2 linked regions of the Ovis aries genome follow. The protein of the gene in region 1 purifies or fractionates together with the protein of each later gene. This does not show direct contact. Links are inferred from orthologs where the notes say so. Each region holds a gene or a part of one and is shown on either strand. Other genes may lie near its edges.

Region 1 (15,804 bases):
ATCTTATGAGTGAAGAAACTGAGGCACCAAGAAGTTATGTAACTTAGCGAAGGTCACCTAGTTAATAAGAGACAAAGCAGGAGTTTGAACCTGGGCAGAATGACTCCAGCATAGCTTTTAAATACTCCTCTTCCATAAGAAAAAAACTCTATCCTTTTCTTTTCTACACTTACTCACCGCTTGTAACAATGTATTTGTATGTGTTTAATAACAAAAACAATATAAATAACAAAATGCATGTAACAAATTATATGTATTTGTTAGGTTACGTCTCCCCGTTGAACTATAAGCTCTGTTGGCGTGGAGACAGTTTTATTTCCAACAGTAGTTGTTCAATAAATATTTGCTAAATAGCTGAATGTAGATTAGTCTCCCCTCTCTTCCTCACTTACCATATTCCATCAGTTACCTGGTCCTGTCCCTATTTCTTCCTGGAGCAATCGTTCCTAAGCCTAGGGTGGTCAGGTATGTGCTTACCCCGTATCCTAAAATTGGACGGAAAACGTTATGTGTCTGTACACCTTTAGAATTTTCTACAGCAAACGTTAGGTGCTTCTTGCTCTCTTCATTTTCTCGATGGACACATGAAGTTAAGAACGGCTGGTTCAGGACTTCCTTGTTGGTCCAGCGGTTAAGAATCTGACTGCCAATGCAGGAGGCATGAATTCGATCCCTGTTTTGGGGGAGCAACTAAGCCCGTGTACCAACAGCTACGGAGCCCATGCTCTAGATCCCACATACCGTAACCTCTGACACCCTAGAGTGCCCTAGAGCCCCTGATCCGCAGGAAGAGAAGCCGTTGCCACAGTGAGAGGCCCAAGCACTACAACTAAAGAAAGGCTGCGGGTAGCAATGATGGCCTAGCGCAGAAGACCAAATAAATAAGGAGACCCAAATAGATAAATAAATGAACAGCCAAATAAAAATTTTAAATATATGTTAAAAGAAAAAAAAGAATAGCTGATTCAAATATTCCCCAGCCTAACTCACCCTCTCCCTGCCAATCTCCTCTCCACAACTACAGCACCCTCTCATCCAGTTTTGTTCTCCAAAAATCCATCCTCTATGCGTTGGTCATAGCAATCTTTTTTTTTTTTTTTTGGCTGTGCTGGGTCTTTGTAGCACGAAGGATCGTCAATCTTCATTGAGGCATGTGGACTATTTAGTTATGGCATGAGAAGTCTTAGTTGTGGCATGCAGTTTTTACTTCTCTGACCAGGAATCAAACCCAGGCCCCCTGCGGTGGGAGTACAGAGTCTTAGCCGCTGGACCACCAGGGAAGTCCCCATTGCAATCTTTAAAAAACACAAACCCAAGTCACCCTCCTGCATAGAATCAGACAGAGACTGGCTATTGCCCTTGGAGCAAAGTGCAAACTCTGACCAGGTGGAGCGGGTGTTGAAGGCCCTGTTAACTTGTCCATCCTTCTGCATCCACACTGGTTCCCTCAACCCTCCAACTCAACAGTCCAGCAGCACAGACGGCGTTTTATGTTTGGGTTTCCTGGCCTGTACCGAAGTGGTTTCTCCTGTCTATATTCATGCAGTGCCCTCTGCCTGGGATGCCAGCCCTCTCCTCTGCACCTAGAAACTCCTATTCTGTCTTTAAGCCTCAGCTTAGATACCCTCTTGGGGTTAGGGGCCCCTCCTTTCTCCCATAGGCTGTGCTTGTCCCAGACAATGTGCAGAAGACTTTGAACCATAGTTGCTCGATTACCAGCCTCTCTCTTCCCTGTGAGCTTTGAGGGCAGCTGCCACATCTTATATATCCCGCAGGCCTAGCCTAAGCGCTTGCCGAAGGTATGGCGCTCAATAACTATTCAATGAATGAATGAACGATGACAAATAGCACCGGTTCATGCGTTCTAAAAAGATTTGTGAAATGATTAAATGAGTGGGTAAGTGGAAGTTCGAGTCTAGAGAGAGCTGGAGAATAGGATATTCAGAGATGAGTAAAATCCGATCACAGCTGTCACACAGCTAAGAGGAAGACAAATGCCTTCAAGGAGCGAGGCTGAAGGATTTAAGAGGGAGGCATTCTAATCTTAGGCGGCCCAGGGGGCGAGTCCGGATCCGACTCCCGCCCTCCCCGCCAATAGGCGGTCTCAATGCCTCCCATGCCTCCTCCCTTTTCATCCGCGGAGGCGGGGCCGGCCACCTTTGGAGATAAGACTACGCTTCCCGGCGTGCCGCGCGGCGGGCGGAGGAGGAGCCGGAAGTGGGGGTCGCGAGGTCTAAGGGCACAAGGGAAGTGGCGGGCGGGGACTGAGGGGGGCGTGCAGGTGAACGGACAGGCCGGGGGTCGCGGGCATGGCTGAGGCCAGGAAGCGGCGGGAGCTCCTTCCCCTGATCTACCAGCATCTGCTGCAGGCGGGCTATGTGCGTGCGGCGCGGGAAGTGAAGGAGCAGAGCGGCCAGGTAAGCGTGCGCGGGCCGTGTCCAAGGGCCGCGTGCAAGATCTATGGAGAGGCGGCCCGCGCCTCTTCCTCTGGCGGCCTGCGGGCGCCGAGATCCCGGATCCCACTGTGCTTTGGGACGCGGCCCGGGGTGCTGAAGGGGCCGCAACCTCTGCCCCGCACCTCTGTGGCTCCCAGTTCCTCTGGGCCTCACTTTCCTTATCTGTGGAGTGGGCGGGCCGGGAAGTGAGACCGAACGCTCTGGGCTTTATAATTCCCGCGCCCCTTACCTCCACCCCCTTCCGGGAGCGACAATTTAAAATTTCGAAGTATCAGGCCACGTGGCTCGGCGCGGCCCCCTAGGGCGAAAAGGTTGCTGCGAGTCTGAGGAGAGAATCGCTACCAGCCCAGAAAGGAGCGAAAGAGCGCCCGAGAAGGGGCCTGAAGCTGCTTGACTGAGCTGGAGCTCAAGCCCCTAGCAGCTTTTCTGTACTAATTGGGAGTTGAACTCGTGGTGTAGTCGCTCTTACTTCATCCATCCCTCAAGCAGCTGTTAATCTGGCAGTGAGGGTGCTGGCGATAGAATAGCGAGGAGGGTCCCTTGGCTTACTAATTAGAGTTTACAGGCTAAATCTGCTAGGGGAGATTGACATAAATCAGAGGACCACAAAAGTAACTGTGCACTCAGCACTGCATTAACTGCCAAGAATGAGAAGCATAGGGTGCTAAGACAGGAATGGCAGATCGCCTTAGTCAGGGATATCCAGACCTGCTCTCCAGAGGAAGTGAATGCTACTTTGAGATCTGAGAGAAGGAAGTGGATGTTCCAAGTAGGAATGCAAAGTGTTGCATATGTACTGGCCGCCAGAAAGTTTATTGTGACTGAAGTATGGAGTACAAGGGTGACAGAGATCTCTGGGGAGACAGAGGCAGGAAGTGGGCTTCCTTTGGTTTTGGTGAAGTAGTGGTAAGCCACTGGAAGGTGTTAAGTTGGTGTGGTGTCTGTTGACTTGATTAGTCGGTGTCTGTCTGGCTATGGTGTAGGCTCTGGTCATGATACTTTCTCTCAGGACCTCTGGGAGAGACTAAAGGATGACAAATAAGACATCATCTGTGCTTTTCCCAATCTTTGGACCTCGGTAGCTTTTCTTACTTCAGTTATATCACTTACCAGCTACAGGGAACAAAAGGGAGTACCTATCTTCTTTGGGGCATTTGCCTAGACGAAAGAATCCTGCCCTCATGAAGCATATATTCCAGCAGGAACAGACAAATGACTGAATTTTTTTTTAAGTTAATGATACAGTGTATGGGGTGATGGTAGGTGCTAGGTGTAAAAATAAGGCAGGTAGAAGGGATAAGGAATATCAGAGTTAAATTATCTATAGGGTGGTCATGAAACCCGAGTGAGAAGGTGACTTTGGGGCGAGGACCTGAAGAAAGTGAAGGAGTGAGCCATATAGTTGGCAGGAGAGAGCATTCAAGACAGAAAGAACAGCCAGCCCCGATGGGGGCGGAGTCCCCTGACAGATTTGAGGGACAGTGAGGAGGCCAGTGTGCCTGGGGCCAAGGAAAGTGAAACTGACACTTTTAGTCACTGTCAGTTACAGACTGAATGTTACTGGCTGCTGTGCTGTGCAGTTACTATTGTAGACTGTCTCCTTAAGGCCTGAGAGCAGCATCTTAGATGGGTACTGCTGTTATCCCCATATAAAGAAAGAACCTGCAGCTTTAAAGAGCTGAAGACAGTAGACTATCCAGTTAACAAATTAATTCTCTTTGCCTGACCCTAGATGCACCCTCCTGGCCACTCTGCTTAAATCCCTGGCCCTGCATTACTCACTCAGCCTCCTTGGGGCACTTGACACTCCAGGTTCTTGACATTTGCAGAGAGTAGACTTCTGATCTTGGCTCCAGAGGGCTTTGCTTCTACCAAAGGATTGGCACCATTTGGTTCCAGTCTCTGCCCAGTGGGTGAGCAGACAGCGTGGTTGTCTAGTCTGTGGTTCATACTGCCTGGGGAAATTGACCAGCTTGACTTTTGAAAGGTCAGGGGTGGAAAAAGCCCTGTCTTGTGGCACCTAAGCCTGGAGAGTGCCAGGGAGGCTGGGGGCTGAATAAATGCTAGCTTGGAATATTCCCACTCTACTCTGTCAAAGGTACTTCTCACCAGAATATTGTCTTAAAAGGTTTTAGTTGGAAGTACTTGCCCTGTGTGTCTCTGAAAGGTTCGGGTGGTCCTGGCAGGGCTGAGCAGACGTATTGCCCAGAGCAGAAAGACCCCCTTCTCAACCATCTCTCTGTGGTTCATGATGTCATGAGCGTGGGGCCCAAGGAGGAACCTTGCTGTACTCAGGAGGGTTAATTGCTGCTTTCTCTTTGCTTCTCTGCAGAAAATTTTCCTGAGTCAGCCTGTAACCCTTCTGGACATCTATACACACTGGCAACAGTAAGTCTAATGGGGCTGAGGGAGTGCAAGAAGGACACCCCAAGCTCTCAGCATGAAATCAGCTAGGATACTAATCTGGTCTAAAATCTGTCCCCGTAACCCACTGTAGATACTTTTATCACCTCTAGGAAGCTACACCACAGATATGGGTGTCTGTCTGCTAGTAGAGAGGACACTGAGAACTGTGAGCAGTGTCTCTGAAGGACAAGAGCTTCTTGGCAGCTTGTTATTCATTCAGTCAATGAGCATTTATTGAGTAACTGCTGAATGCCAGGCTCTCAGTACAGAGATATTGTCATGAATGAGACATGCATGGTGGCTCCTTTCCTGGAGCTGACACTGGAGTCAGGGAGGTAAGCATGCCACAGAGAATGAGACAAATGAGTATAAAATCACAGTGGTGGTGAGGATTATGAAAGAGGTGCCTGGGGCCAAAACTGCCTGAATAGGTTAGCATCACCTCATTTAGGTGTGTAGGAGTGGCTTCCTTGAGGTGACCTTTGAGTTGAGAACTGCAGGAGTGGGGAGGTGAACTCGGCAATAGGTGTGGAAAGGCTGATGGAGTGTAGCTGGCAGAGGGAGCTGCTGGTCTGAGGCTGTAACTGCTGTGCAGTGCAGACGAGACTAGACAATCGTCAGGGACCACCCCATGACAGGCCTGATCACCCACAAGGAGAAGTTGTGTCTTTGCCCTGAGAACCATGGACGGGTGAAGTGAAGAGTGGTGAGGTCGCTGGCTCGACTGGGTAGGCTGTGGATATCAGCCTCCAGACAAGAGCTGCTAGGGCTTGAGGCAGGAATAACATACGAGGGAGACAGTGTGCAGGAATACCAGAGGATGAGATGAGGGTCTGCAGATGGTTTGGAGAAGCAGTGTAGTCAGCTCCCAGGTGTCTGACTTGTATGCTTGAATGGAAGGAACCCAACGTGGAGGGAAAGATTTCAAAGACATGCTGAATGTGAAATGTCTGTGAAACACGCAAAACAAGGAGAGGGGATAATCCAAGGACTTATCAACAGAGGAATGGATTGAAAATGAAGGAGCGGGTAATCGCTCCCTCAGTGAACTGGCCTGACCACAGCCAACTACGGGAGTGAAGGACCTGCAGTTGTGACCCATGAGGAATGATAGTGAACATGCAACTGTCTGGGTGGAAAAAAGATGGCAGAGGGGCAGTGGAGGGACCACTATCTGCACATGTTTTGAGACGAAGGGAGTGGGGTGTTCCCTAGGGCCTGAGAGAGAAGTGGGACCCATGTGAACCTGCTTTAGGAAGCCAAGTGTCAGCTTCTGAGTGAAAGCAGTTGGTCATCAGAGCTGTCCAAAACTGAGGTGGGCTACAGTAGAGTGGTGAGATCCCTGTCATCAGAGGTGTGTAAGCAAAGGCGGGCATGGTAGAGAAGGGATCCCAGCTTCCAGTAGAGAGCTAAGGTCTTTGCAAGCCCTGTCAGCCCTCAGTTCTTGGCTCTCCTCTGCTGCTAAGGTGAGCACAGGGTACACCCCCCACTTCCTCTTCCACGTGCCCAGGTGTCTGCTATTTGTGCAGCACTTCCTTCCCCAGAGAAGTGCTTCACTGAGCCGTGCCTCACACCCTCCCCTACCACCAGCCCCTTCTCTGGATGAGCGGTGCTGACTTGGACAAGGACCTCACACCCACCAGCCTAACCTGGTGGTTCAAACCCAGCTGTATGACCTTGGACAAACTTGATCTCCCCAAGTTAGTCTCCTTCAGTAAAATGAAGATAATAATAGTAAATAAAGTGCTAAACCTGGCCAGTGGAGGCATTACTCCTCTCCCCGCTTCTGTTTACTGAGCACCTACTTTGAGACAGAACTGTTCTTGATGTAGTTGGAAACAAACTGGAAGAGAAAAATCTCTGCACCTGTGAAAGTTACGTTCTACGGGGAGAAGAGAGGCAGAGTGAACCTATACGTGTGATAAATGAAACATGTTTTTGTAGATTTCCCAACAAGTGGCCTTCCTGGGAACAAGGGAGCCAGGCAGCACATCCCAAACTGTGGCAGAGCGACATCTGTCCCACATGGAGAGTGTGGCACACAGACAGTGACCCCCTCGGGCAGGAGGCTGGGCTCAGAGGATGGGGTGCTTGAAAATTCTGGCACCTCAGCCATCTGAGTGCTTGTCCTCCCCAGAGCCTCAGACTGTGACTCTGGGCAGGTCAGTTAGCCGTGAGACTTAGGCTAGGTACTCTAGGTACTGAAGTGAGCTGGAAAAGGTTCTGCCAGCCCTCCCCTCCCCGGGCATGCAGTAGGGGCATCATCAAGTAGGAAGTTAAGTAAAACGATGGGAGAGAGAAAAGTGCTCTGAAGAAAATGAAACAGGGCGGAGAATATCTTAGAGGACAGTGGTGACTGGGGAAGGCCTTTCCGAGAAGGCTGTACTGCAGTTGAGGCCTGAGGGACAACAGGGACCTGGGCAGTCTTCCAAGAGGAGGTGACTGTGGGTGCCACAAGTCCTGAAGGAAGGAGGGACCTGGATGATTCTGTGAAGTGTATACAGTGCTGGCGCTTAGAGCTCTGTGACTCTTAGCGGCTGTTAGAAAATACTGCCCACCCTTCCTGAGTGTTTGAAGATAAACTGTAAAAATACAGTGAAATGAGTGAAGATGCACAACACGAAATTGTTTCTCCACTCTGTTTCATCACTGTTTAAAGTCTCTTTATACACTTTCCCTTTGGGGTCAGGGAGGATGTGGGAGGTCTTCCTTTTCAACTATCCTAGGGTTGTCCTTGCCCCCTGGTTGAGCTTGCCAGTCACCCTTGTCCTGCAGAACTTCGGAGATTGGCCGGAAACGGAAGGCAGAGGAAGATGCGGCCTTGCAGGCCAAGAGGACCCGCGTGTCAGACCCCATCAGCAGCTCAGAGAGCTCGGAAGAGGAGGAGGAGGAGGAGGAGGCAGAAGCCAAAACCACCAAACCCAGTAAGAGTCCTGGGTGCTGAGAGGGCCCCTGTCTCTGAGCCAGGGGCTCGGTGTAGTACCCTGCACCTCTCGGGGACCGGCTGTTGTATATTGGATTGTTCCAAGGGAGAGTCCACCTCCAGCTTCACCTTCTGTGAGCCCTTGGAGGACCAGGTCCTTTTAGAGGGAAGGTTGTAAGAGCCCCACATACCTATTTTAGTCTTGATTTGAGCCCTTCCTCTGGGCCAGACATTGTGTCCCAGGTGCTAGGAATCCAGTGGTGAACAAAAACAGGAATGGGCTCTTAGAGTCTAGAGGCATGTAGAGAGTCAGCCTCTCCAGTCCAGGAACTGCATTTTTTTAAGCCTTCTAGATAAGTCTGGTAAAAACAGAAGAGCAGCTTTCATTTTCAGAAGAACTGCGAGAGAGATTTCAGAGACAGCAGCTGGCAGGCCCCTCTTCTGTGTGCTCAGGGGCTATTTCAGCAGTTGCCTCTCTGAAGGGAGCAGGTTTAGCACCTGTACGCTGTCCCAGGCACCCTGGTTCCAGTGCGTTGGCAGGGGCCACCCTGTGAGGCCTTCACAGCCCCCTCCTATCCCCGTTCTCCAGCTAGTTTGTGCTTTAACCAACAGTGGTCACAGCTCCACAGAAGAATTACCATTCTCTGCATTGTTGGTTTTTACTTACATAGAAGGTAACTTCTTAATTTTTAAATATATTTTCTCATTGTAAAAGAAATACAGGCTTCATTATATTCATTATAGAATATGTGAAAATGACTTTTTAGAGAGGTAGTGGAAAATTACCCATATTCTTGGCCACGTATAATTTGGCAAATTATTCTTCCATTTATTTTTCCTGAGCATGTTTTTTTCAAATATTGGCTATCATACTGAATATGTATGTTATACTTTGCTTAATCTTTGAAAATTATAATGCAAAACAAGTTCTCTGTGAACTCTACAAAACATACAGAAGAGAAGTGGGAGGTTTTCTGTTCCCCTTGTCTGCTCCCTTTCTTTTCCCTAAATGCATCTCCTGGAAGGTAGCCTGACGATGCTGATGACGCTCCCCTTTGCATCTGCACTCAAACAGATAGACATCCGTACAGGCCTACATCCATACTTACAAACTATTCGAAACAAAAGCTGTATAACTGCCTACTGACTGCTTACTCAATATTAATGAATTTTTTAAGCTGTAATAATGGAATTATAATTATACTTTTTAAGAGCCCTCATTGAAAGAAACCTGCTGAAATATTGTTGGGCAACGTAATATGATGTCTGGTGTATTCTTCAGGATAATACTCACTGGGATGGATGAATGCGGGGTACAGTTGAAATAAGATTGGCCACAAGTTGGTAATGGTTGGGGTTGGGTGGCTTAGTCCTCTTCCTCAGTACTTATGAACGGGCCTAAAATGTTCCAGAATTAAAAATCAAGAAAGGGGTTCCCTGGTGGCTCAGTGTTAGAGACTGCCTGCCAGGGCAAAAAACGTGGGTTCAGTCCCTGGTCCGGGAAGATCCCACGTGCCACGGAGCAGCTAAGCTTGTGCACCACGACTATTGGACCTGTGCTCTAGAGCGTGTGCTTTGCAACAAGAGAGGCCCCCACGCTGGGAAGCCCACGCACCACAACTGGAGAGTAGCCCTGCTCTCTGCAGCTAGAGAAAAGCAACAGAGACCCAGCTCAGCCAATAAGTTGGAGAAAAAAAAAAAAAAATGAGAGATGGAATTAAATGTCAGGAGAAGAATTAGATCATGTAATTCCTCTCAACAGCATCATATTTTTTAACCTAATCAACACTTGTTTTCTCTTGGCTTTATTTATTCATTTGTCTTTGGCTGTGGTGGGTCTTCCTTGCTGTGCTCGAGGTTTTCTCTAGTTGCAGTGAGGGGGTGGCTACTCTTGTTTGGTTGCACAGGCTCCTCGCGGCAGAGCACAGGCTCAGCAGTTGTGGTGCATAAGCCTAGGTGCTCCACGGCATGTGGGATCGTCTCGGACCAGGGACTGAACCTGTGTCCCCAGCATCGGCAAGCGAATTCTTAATCACTGGACCACCAGGGAAGCCCCCAACAGCATCTTCTTTATTTCACAGCATACGTTAGAAACCTTTCCCTAACCTGAGCTCAAAGGAGACAGTATCCTGGTATCAAGGCAAAAAGGGTCTGGAAACTGACATCTAACAAGATTCCAGTCTTTTAGTTCAGCTCCCCACCCACTGGGACATGGTTTAAATTCGAGCAGCTTTCTCTGTGGACCTGGGGCTGCATGACCTGCCTCTATCTTGCTAAATGGCGTTCTGGGCTGCAGTGTGGCAGATGGCCTGTGGGAATGGCATCCCTGGAGTTGTTCGGGCCTCCAGGGTAGTATGCAGTAGGTCTGGGAGCCAATCCCGTTTCCTCTGGGGCCCTCGGTATCTCCAGCCTCCAGGAAGCTGGAACCCCATTGGGGGTGTAGTCAGCCGACTTCCATGTCACCACTCTCTCTTGCTCCTGGGGGATGTGGTTGAGCACCACTGAGCCCTTCCTCAGTCCAGGCTCAGCCTCAAATCTCATGCCAACACCAGGCAGCCATACAAATTGAATTGTTATGTGAGCTGAAACCTTTCTTCTTCCCTGAGAAAAGGCTGGTCTGGCTCACCCAATGGGTATTTGTGTCTTGCAGCCCCGAGATTAGCAGCTACCAACTCCTCAGTCACAGGGACAGTTTCGTCTTCAAGTGTGAAAGAAAAAGCCAAGGTGAGTGGGACCATCTTCCAGGCTGTCACCCATGGGAGGTGAGGTGCCCTGTAGGACATGTTCCCTGGCATCAGAGAAGAACTGGGTTGTGGGTAATTGCCCAGCTTGGATTCGGATCTCAGTCACCAGCTGTGTGATCATGGTGTGTCCCATGCACCTCTCCGGGCCTCGGGTTTTTGTCTGTAAGATGGGGATGATGCCTACTGCTGTGAGCCATTGGGCACCTGGCATACCTGGGGTAGACGGCTCCTGTCCTCTTCCGGCCCTGCATTCAGCTCTTCACTCAGAAAGTCATTACCAATACAGTTATGTTCCAGGGGCTACATGAGGCAGTGGAGACACCATAGCAAACAAGACACCTGTGGCTTTGAAAGCTCGAGAAGCATTTTCTAGGCTGGAAACTACTTGGAAGGCAGAATATCGTTTTCCGGTCATCCACAAAGTGGTGTCTCAGACATGGAAAGGACTGTGTCCCAGATACTGACTCAAGCATTAGCAAAAAATATGTAGAAATAATCACGAGGCCATGATAACATCCACAATAAATTGCTACTTACCGCTTAGCGAAACTGCTGTGTCCTAAGAACTGTAATTCAGTTCACACCTCTGCGAGGGGAGGTACCGTTTTCAGCTCCCCCTTGACTGGCCACAGGTTGGTGATGAATCCGTAACTTCAGAGATGAAGAAACAGAGGCTCAGGGAGGTCATGTGTCCAAGCTCATGGGTCTGGGAAGTGGCAGAGGTGGGAGCTGATGTGGTCTGTGCTCTTATCCACCTGACCATACCCAGTGGCTGTCACTCCTGTTCTCTGTAGGCAAAGACCACGAAAGCCAGCAAGACGGTGAACTCCACGACACACCCTGCCCCGGGAAAGGCAGTGGCCCACCTCCTCACTGGGAAGTCACCCCAGAAGACGACGGGGCCCTCGGCAAATGCTGTCTTGGTGTCAGAAACTGAGGAGGAGGGCAGCGTGTCAGCTCTCAGAACCGCTGCCACGCCTGGTAAGGAGCCCCAACCTCTAGGGCCAGGCCCCCGGGACATTCTGGAACTTAGGTGGTTGTCTCCATGACGGCGAGGACCACCGCCTCAGGCCACTTTCTCCTCCCCTGGGTGAGAGAGAATCTGCTATAGGGACACCTCAGGCTTTGCTGAGGGAATGTGAGCAGCCGGGGTGGGGTTGGAGCATTTTCTGGTTTATTGCTCTCAGGTGGGTACCAGTGCCTTCCACGGAGGCTTAGACGCTAAGGTGAGAGGCCTGGGTTTGCCTCTGTATCGCATGTAAAATAGGTATTTTCCCTGTGATAGGGGAAGGAGGTTTTCTAAGCCCCCAGGTGCTGGCGCTTGTGTGTCAGGACCTATTGTTACACCTCTTACCAGCCCTTCGGCTGTGCAGGAGTGGTGGGGGCGGGGGGCAGTGTGGTATGCCCCTCAGCTGTTCGTCCTCCATGGGTGCAGGAGCTTGCACTCATACCTGGCCCTGAGTAATTGGCGTGGAGGGTGCCAACGAGAGGCAGGCGTGTCTATAAAGGGTTGGCCCTCAGTCCCCTCCTTGTTTATCCCTCAGGAATGGCATCTGCCGACCAGGCTGATAGCTCCAGTGAGGATACCACCAGCTCGAGCGATGAGACGGACTTGGAGGTAATTGCCACCCATCCTCAGAGCAGCCCTCTGCAAACCTCTAACCCTCCTGGGGCCTGGCCAGAGGCCTCACCTCCCAGTGGTACCGGTGTCACCTCTCCCCATTCAGTGGGTGTTTTGGGGTGACCGGGAGCTGGAAGGCTGAGCCTGGGCAGGTTGGGAGCCAGATTTTCACTGTGCTCTGGGCAGGAAGAGGGCCTGGAGTTGGTGGGGAGAGACACCATCCTCCCTGTGAGGCGGGGGCAGACTTTCTCGGAGAGACGGCACGGGACCAGGGCCTGACGCACAGGGGGCTCCACCGGGTGGGCATGTTGGGGTGTGAGTATTCGAGCAGGAAAAGCTGCACGAGCAAAGGCCATGGGGTCAGGAGTGTGGCTGTCTGGGGTCAGACTGCTGAGGAGGTTCTGGGTCTGCTGGTGAGTGCTGGGTCTCAGCACTGCCTGAGGAAGTCCGTGGCCTCGGCTCTTCCGGGAACCGTGGCCTGGAGTCTCTGCAGGTTATTCCTTAGTGTGCACCTTCCAGGTGGCAGGCAGGTTCCTGCTGCCGTGGGGGAGTGAAAGGGACCCTCAGAAATTTAACTGCAGTGGTGATGGTTGGTATGAACAGGAAACGCAGAAAGCCGCGAGGGGCAGTAACAGGGATGCAATGCGGGCAGAGGGGCAGCACGGCAGGACGGACACAGCAGACTTGGTGCTTTGCAGGAACAGGGATCCGCAGGGTCATGAAGGGGAGAGTGACGTAAGATGAAGTCGAGGGAGGCAGGGCCAGATTGGTGCCTGACCGTGAGGCCCACTGAGAGAAGTTTGGGTTTTGTCCTGGTGGCTGTGGGAAACCTTGCAGGCTTGCAGGCACACAGGTGAGATGGCCTGATTTATGGTTCCAAAACATCACTGGTTGTGGCCTGGGTTGGAGGACGGTGCTTCATAAGTGCAGTGAGATGGCTGAGGGCTGTTGGAGTAATGCTGGCAGGAGATGCTGAAGGCTGGCACCAGGGCACCCAGCGGAGAGATGGGGAGAGAGAACAATAGGATTCGGGGATCAAATTGACCTGGCACCCATGGGGCTTCCTACCTTACCTTCCCACCTCAACCAGTAACCCCTGAAGATGCAGACCTAACTGTGGGCTGCTTCTCACATTCCATCCCACCTTTGGGCCCTAGTTACAGCCAGTTATACAGTCCAGGCACCCTGGGCTTCCATGTCCAGGCTCTGTCGAGGGAAGGCACACACACCTGGCCCTGGAAGCCAGCAGCCAAACACATAGCTTCAGTGGGCCAGAGCCCAGAGAGGGGAGGGGGGGTGCCCCAGGAATCTCAGCAGGCTGGTGCCAAGACTAGAGTTCAGGCCCTGGCCTCTTGGCCCTTGTGGTAGCCACCATGATCAGATACTGTGTTAATATTTGGAGGGGTAGACAAGTATGAGCTGTCCTGCTTGTGAGAGACTACCCCTCCACTGAGCCCTGTGTGCCAAGAGGTAGAGGAGGTTTGTGGTTGAGCATTCTGCCCCTTATTATCAGCGTTAGTGGTTTAACCTCTCTGAGCCTTTTGTCTTTTTCCGGAAAATGGGTGTAAAGATGGTATCTTAGGGAGTTGAGAATGAGATGGCATTAAGACAGAGCGTTACAGACTATGAAGCATCTTACACTCCTCAATGGCAGACAGGGTTATTCTCTGATCCCATGCTCTTGTTCCAGGTGAAAGCCGCAGTAAAACCACTGCAGGTCAGAGCCTCAGCCACTGCAGTCAAGGAGTCTCCGAGAAAAAGTGCAGCCCCAACTCCAGGGAAGGCAGGGGTTGTGACACCCCAAGTCAAAGGCGGTGCTGTAACCCCAGCCAGCAGGGCCAAGAAGCCAGAAGAGGTCTCAGAGAGCAGCGAGGAGTCCGATGAGAGTGAGGAGGAGGCCCCGGTGAGGCCCAAGGGAGGCCCGCTCCTCCGGTTCCGGGGCAGCTATGTAAAGAGCACCTCCGCTGCCAGAGGACACTGGCTCTGGAGTTTGGGGAGAGGGAGGCGGGGCTCTGGGAGGTGAAGGGCAAGGTCACCTGACTCTGCCTCAGCTGCTCCTGGAAATTGCCCTTCCTGCCCAAAGGGAAGAACCCCGCCCAGCACCCCCTTCCCCTCAGTTCCCCTGTCTGGAAAACAGGCTGCTGTCTTTGTCCCGGCTGGTCCTGCTGTGAAGGAACTTGAGAAGTTTTAGTTACCTGGCCCTCTGGCTTCTCAGGCCAAATCATGGCTTGTTAGCAAACAGAAATCCAGCTCTATTCCATCTGCTCGGACCCCCTTCTTGCATGGGTGGCCAGAGCTGCAGCCGGGCATGTCCTGAGGGAAAACCAGAGGCACTGGGAAACTGTTGGAATCAGAGAGCAGCAAGGATGAGGGGCAGACTGGTGGTAAAAGGCCCCTAGAGCCCTGAGCCTGCCCAGGTGAGGAGCCTATCCAGCTTGGCCATCACGGAAAACCAGTATAAGGAACTGCTATCTTATCTGGTACCCAGGTGATACGGACAGGGGTTGTGAGGGCCCCAGGAATGAGGAGATACGGCCATCTGGCTGGCCAGCCATACTGGCTGGAGTATCAGTCAAAGCGGGGAGTGGGGAGAGAAGGAAGGGGTCTCGTGAGCCTCACTAAAGGCTCAGGCTTTATTCTTAAGACATCACAAGAGAGTTTTCAGAAAGAAATGAACAAACCATGCTTTCTCTTTTACCAGGTGAAGGCCTTGGAGAAAACCACCCCAATCAGAGTTGCTCCTAGTCCTGCCAAGGGGACCCCTGGGAAAGGGGCCACCCCAGCAGCCCCTGGGAAGGCAGGGCCCTTAGGGAAGCCAGAGGAGGACTCGGAGAGCAGCAGCGAGGAGTCAGACAGCGAGGAGGAGACACAAGCTGTCAAGACCCCAGTGCAGGTGGGACCTGGAGAGAGGGCCCCGGAGCTGGCACCCACCCCAGGAGGCCTCCTGAGGGCTGATTCTCCCACTCCACGTGCCCTGGCCACGCAAGGGCCACGTGGAGTCTGTGGTGTCTTTGACCCCGTCTGCTATCCTGTTTCCTCAAGTCCACTGTCTGGGCTCTCTCCACTGATTCTGTTTCTCTCTCTTCAGGCAAAGCCCTCTGGGAAGATCCCCCAGGTTAAAGCTGCCTCTGCAGCACCCACCCAGGTGCTTTCCCCTAAGAAAGGGGCCCCTCCAGCACCCGCTGGCAAGGCAGGGCCTGCAGCCACCCAAGCCCAGCCCAGGAAGCAGGAGAAGGAGGAGAGCAGCAGCAGCAGCAGCGAGGAATCAGACAGCGAGGGCGAGGCGCCCACGGCCACGCGGCAGACTACAAGCCTGGCTCAGGTGAGGCTAGAGGACGCCCAGCCTCGCCCTGGGAGTTACCTGCAGAGACCCTGTGGGCCTCTCGTTCTCTGTTCCAGAACCTCCATTCGCCCTCCTCCCCTCCTGTCTCACCTCACACGTTCCCCGCTAAGCCTCCTGTCCTGTCCTCTGTCACTCCCAGGCAAAGCCCTTGGAGAAAAACTCTCAGGTCAGAGCTGCCTCAGCCACGGGTGCAGGACCCTCGGCGAAGGGCACAGTCCCTGCGCCCCCTCAGAAGGCAAGGTCTGTGGCCGCCCAGGACGGGAAGCAGGAGGACTCGGAGAGCAGCAGTGAGGAGGAGTCGGACAGCGAGG
Region 2 (2,980 bases), on another chromosome or scaffold:
GCCTGAAGCCTCAGCTTCTGTGTGACAGTGTAAGTACCAGGCTCCACAGAGATGTCAGTCGTGTAGCTTCTGCCTGCAGCTGTGGCCCCGCCAAGCCCCAGGAACAGACAGTGGGAGCAACCACACAGAGCAGTGGAAACAGCTCAGCCACAACAGGTCACCCCGTGGTCGTGTATGTTAGCCCCAACAGGGACGGGGCTGCCCTGCCCACCTCCCACAAGCATCTAGTCTGTGGGAAAGTGAGTTGTTATTCCCTCTGTAAATGAGAGAGTTTGCTCTGTGGTTTTATCAAACTGCCTTTGAGTCGGGACTGACCAAATCAAGTTTCTGTGTTCACCTTGGGGCACAGGTACAGTTCAGCCATTCCGTAAATGTTTATTGACAGCCTGTGGGCCAGGTGCCACGTGGGTGCAGAAAAGGGACTGAGTCTCACAGCTGACAGTCACGGATGAGCACACGATGCACTCCTTAAACGCCGCTCAGAAAACACACGCACTCCGGCCTATTAAAAGGTTTATTTTCTTCTTTATGCTCAGAAACAATGAAGTGGTCTTGCCCCCCAAAGGGTCTCATCCTGAAGGAATGGGAGGCAGAGAGAGTGACAGGAGGGGGTGTAGGTGTGAGGTTGAATGTGGGAGTGCTTTCCCCCTCTTTTCCTATTATCACTCCTCTTCGGCTCCCCCTCCAAAAAATTGAGGTGTGAACACAGCTTGCCACCCACTGGGGGACTGGGGAAGCACAGCTGAAGTCAAAAAATTAATGCCCATGTTCCACAAGAGCTGGGTCCAGTGCGTATCTGGTGGGGGGTGGGGGAGTGGGGGGGGGGCATTGGTCGAGGAAGCCGCTGGGTGGAGGGGAAGGGAAGAGGGACTGGGATCCCCCTCAGTGACAGTGGGGGTCTTGGTCCTGCCTCCACCTGCCCCCCCGCCCCTGCCATCCACTCCCTTCTTCCAGCCTCCCTTCCTAGCAGAACTGGTCGTCGTAGTCCTCATCCTTCAGCCCCTTGAGCCGCAGTCGGGCAAAGTCCTCAAACACAATGTCGTCGTCTGTGGCATAGCTTGGTGGTAGAGAGGAGGGGGTGAGGTGGGGGCCCTAGGCCTCCTCCACCTCCCAGTCCCCTCCCCTCCCAGAGACAGAGGCGCCGGCCAGAGCAGCCTTGGGACTGGAGATGTTTGCAGAAGGGACAGAGAAGGGGTGGTAGTTGGCAGCTCATTAGCCTAAGTCCTCTCAATTGGATGCTTCAACCATCCCGCCTCCCAAAGGGAAAAATAGGGTAGATCTGAATGTTACAGGAATCTGTCCAGAGAGTCAACGCTTGAAGGGGTGGGGCACTCTTACTTGGTATCGAATTCAATGAGGTTGGTGTCCACAGGGGCATCTGTTTCAGGAGCAGCTGAGGGGAGGAGAGCCGGGGGGTGGGTGGGTACTAAAAGGACCAGCTTTCCTCTCCGCTGGCCTTGCTTCAGACCCTCCCTTTGTGGGCTTGGGTGGGTGGCAGGCTCACCTGATTGGGGCCTGGGAAGGGCGATGTGATCATGGGGCTTGGGGTGCATGAGAACAAAAGGCAGCTCCACTGAGACGTCCCTGGGATTGGGGGAGAGGTGGCAAGAAGAGATGATAGTGCAGAGCCAGAGGAAACCCCTGTGCCCCACCCCACCCCCAGGCTCCCCCCAGCCCAGCACTCACCCGCCTCGAGATACCACCAGCTTCACCTTGACCCTGTAGGACACCAGGATCCCCAGCACCTCCTTGTTGGCACCCTCCTTCACGCTGCAGTTGGGGGAAGGGGTTGGACCAGAGCCCACTGCTCTGCCCACTGCCCACCCCGGGGCCCCCATGAGGAGGCGGACTACAGATACCAGCATGCTCATGTCACGTAAAGTACTCTGCTGTGGTCCTTCTCATCGCTCTCTCAGTAAAAGCCCAAGTCCTTACAGCCCAGCCACCCTGCACTGTCTTGCTCTCCATCAGCCCTCTGACCCCACTTCCAGCTCCCAGGCTGGCCTCCAAGGCTTGCTGTGTGTGGTCGTGTACAGAGGGGTGGGGAGGGGTGAAATCCAGCCCCTACTTTATGAAGCTGTTGCCCCTAGAGGGCCTGCCTCAGACACCCGGGTGGTCCACCTCAGGGTCTTTGTGCCTGCGGTACCCTCTGCCTGGAGCGCTCCTGCCCTGCACATCCACATGACATACTCCCTTGGCGTCTTCACCCAGAATCCACCTCTGGATCAGGCCTCCCCATCCCTTCTACCACCCTCCCCTTTATATCTCCCATGTCAGTCTTGCTTTTTCTCCTTAACACCTGTCACTAAACACACTACACATTCTGTCCTGTATCTGATTTGTCTGGCCTCCCTCTGAGAACAGGAGAGGTGTTTGGGATCTATTCAGTGATAGAGCCCTGGCCCCGGGGACAGAACCTGGCACACAGCCGCACAGAATGGGTGTCTAGTTTCCTGCGCTGCAGCCAGCCCCCCTCCCTGCCGACTCCCCCTCACATGGTGCTGGACGCCAGGTTGGTGTCCTCGTGCTTGAGCTTCCCATCCAGGGCGAGGCCGCGCTTCTCCCGGTTGTTGCTGAGCAGGGGGGTTATGGTGTACACCTTACAGAATGTGGAACTGGGTGACACCTGGTCACTGCAGGGTGGGGACAAGAGAGGGAGACTCTGAGGGGGCAGGCGGGGCAAGGGGGCAGCTCCCACCCCCAGCGGCCTCTCCCGCATCACCAGCCCCTCCTCTCTGTGGGCACGGGTCACAAGGAGTAGGTTTTGGCTCAAGCTGCTCAAGAAAACGGGCAGCTCAGAGCCACCCTCAGACTGGAGGGAATGCCCTTGTAAGTTGAGACAGTTTGAGAAGAACCACCCACGTCCCCATGTTCCCAGGGCCCACCCTTCCCAGGGCTGTTCTGCTACTCACTCTTGTTCAACCTGAGCCACGGGACACTTGTACTGGGCAGTGCTGAAGAGGCAGATGTCGGCGTACTG

Evidence for each region.
Region 2: the proteins of TCOF1 (region 1) and ARRB2 purify together in Homo sapiens (affinity purification with western blotting; 4 studies listed by BioGRID and IntAct, with this or other methods). This does not show direct contact. The link is inferred for Ovis aries from reciprocal best matches to the Homo sapiens genes TCOF1 and ARRB2.

The regions. Positions count from the first base shown.
Region 1 is NC_056058.1:59,469,696-59,485,499, forward strand, and holds the start of TCOF1 (treacle protein), read left to right. Parts: upstream 1-2,259; 5' UTR 2,260-2,309; coding exon 2,310-2,417; intron 2,418-4,788; coding exon 4,789-4,844; intron 4,845-7,637; coding exon 7,638-7,786; intron 7,787-10,435; coding exon 10,436-10,509; intron 10,510-11,323; coding exon 11,324-11,510; intron 11,511-12,073; coding exon 12,074-12,147; intron 12,148-13,840; coding exon 13,841-14,053; intron 14,054-14,851; coding exon 14,852-15,043; intron 15,044-15,238; coding exon 15,239-15,472; intron 15,473-15,632; coding exon 15,633-15,804.
Region 2 is NC_056064.1:26,515,312-26,518,291, forward strand, and holds the end of ARRB2 (beta-arrestin-2), read right to left. Parts: coding exon 2,913-2,980; intron 2,634-2,912; coding exon 2,496-2,633; intron 1,771-2,495; coding exon 1,687-1,770; intron 1,585-1,686; coding exon 1,505-1,584; intron 1,427-1,504; coding exon 1,339-1,426; intron 1,058-1,338; coding exon 964-1,057; 3' UTR 501-963; downstream 1-500. UniProt on the Homo sapiens protein: Functions in regulating agonist-mediated G-protein coupled receptor (GPCR) signaling by mediating both receptor desensitization and resensitization processes.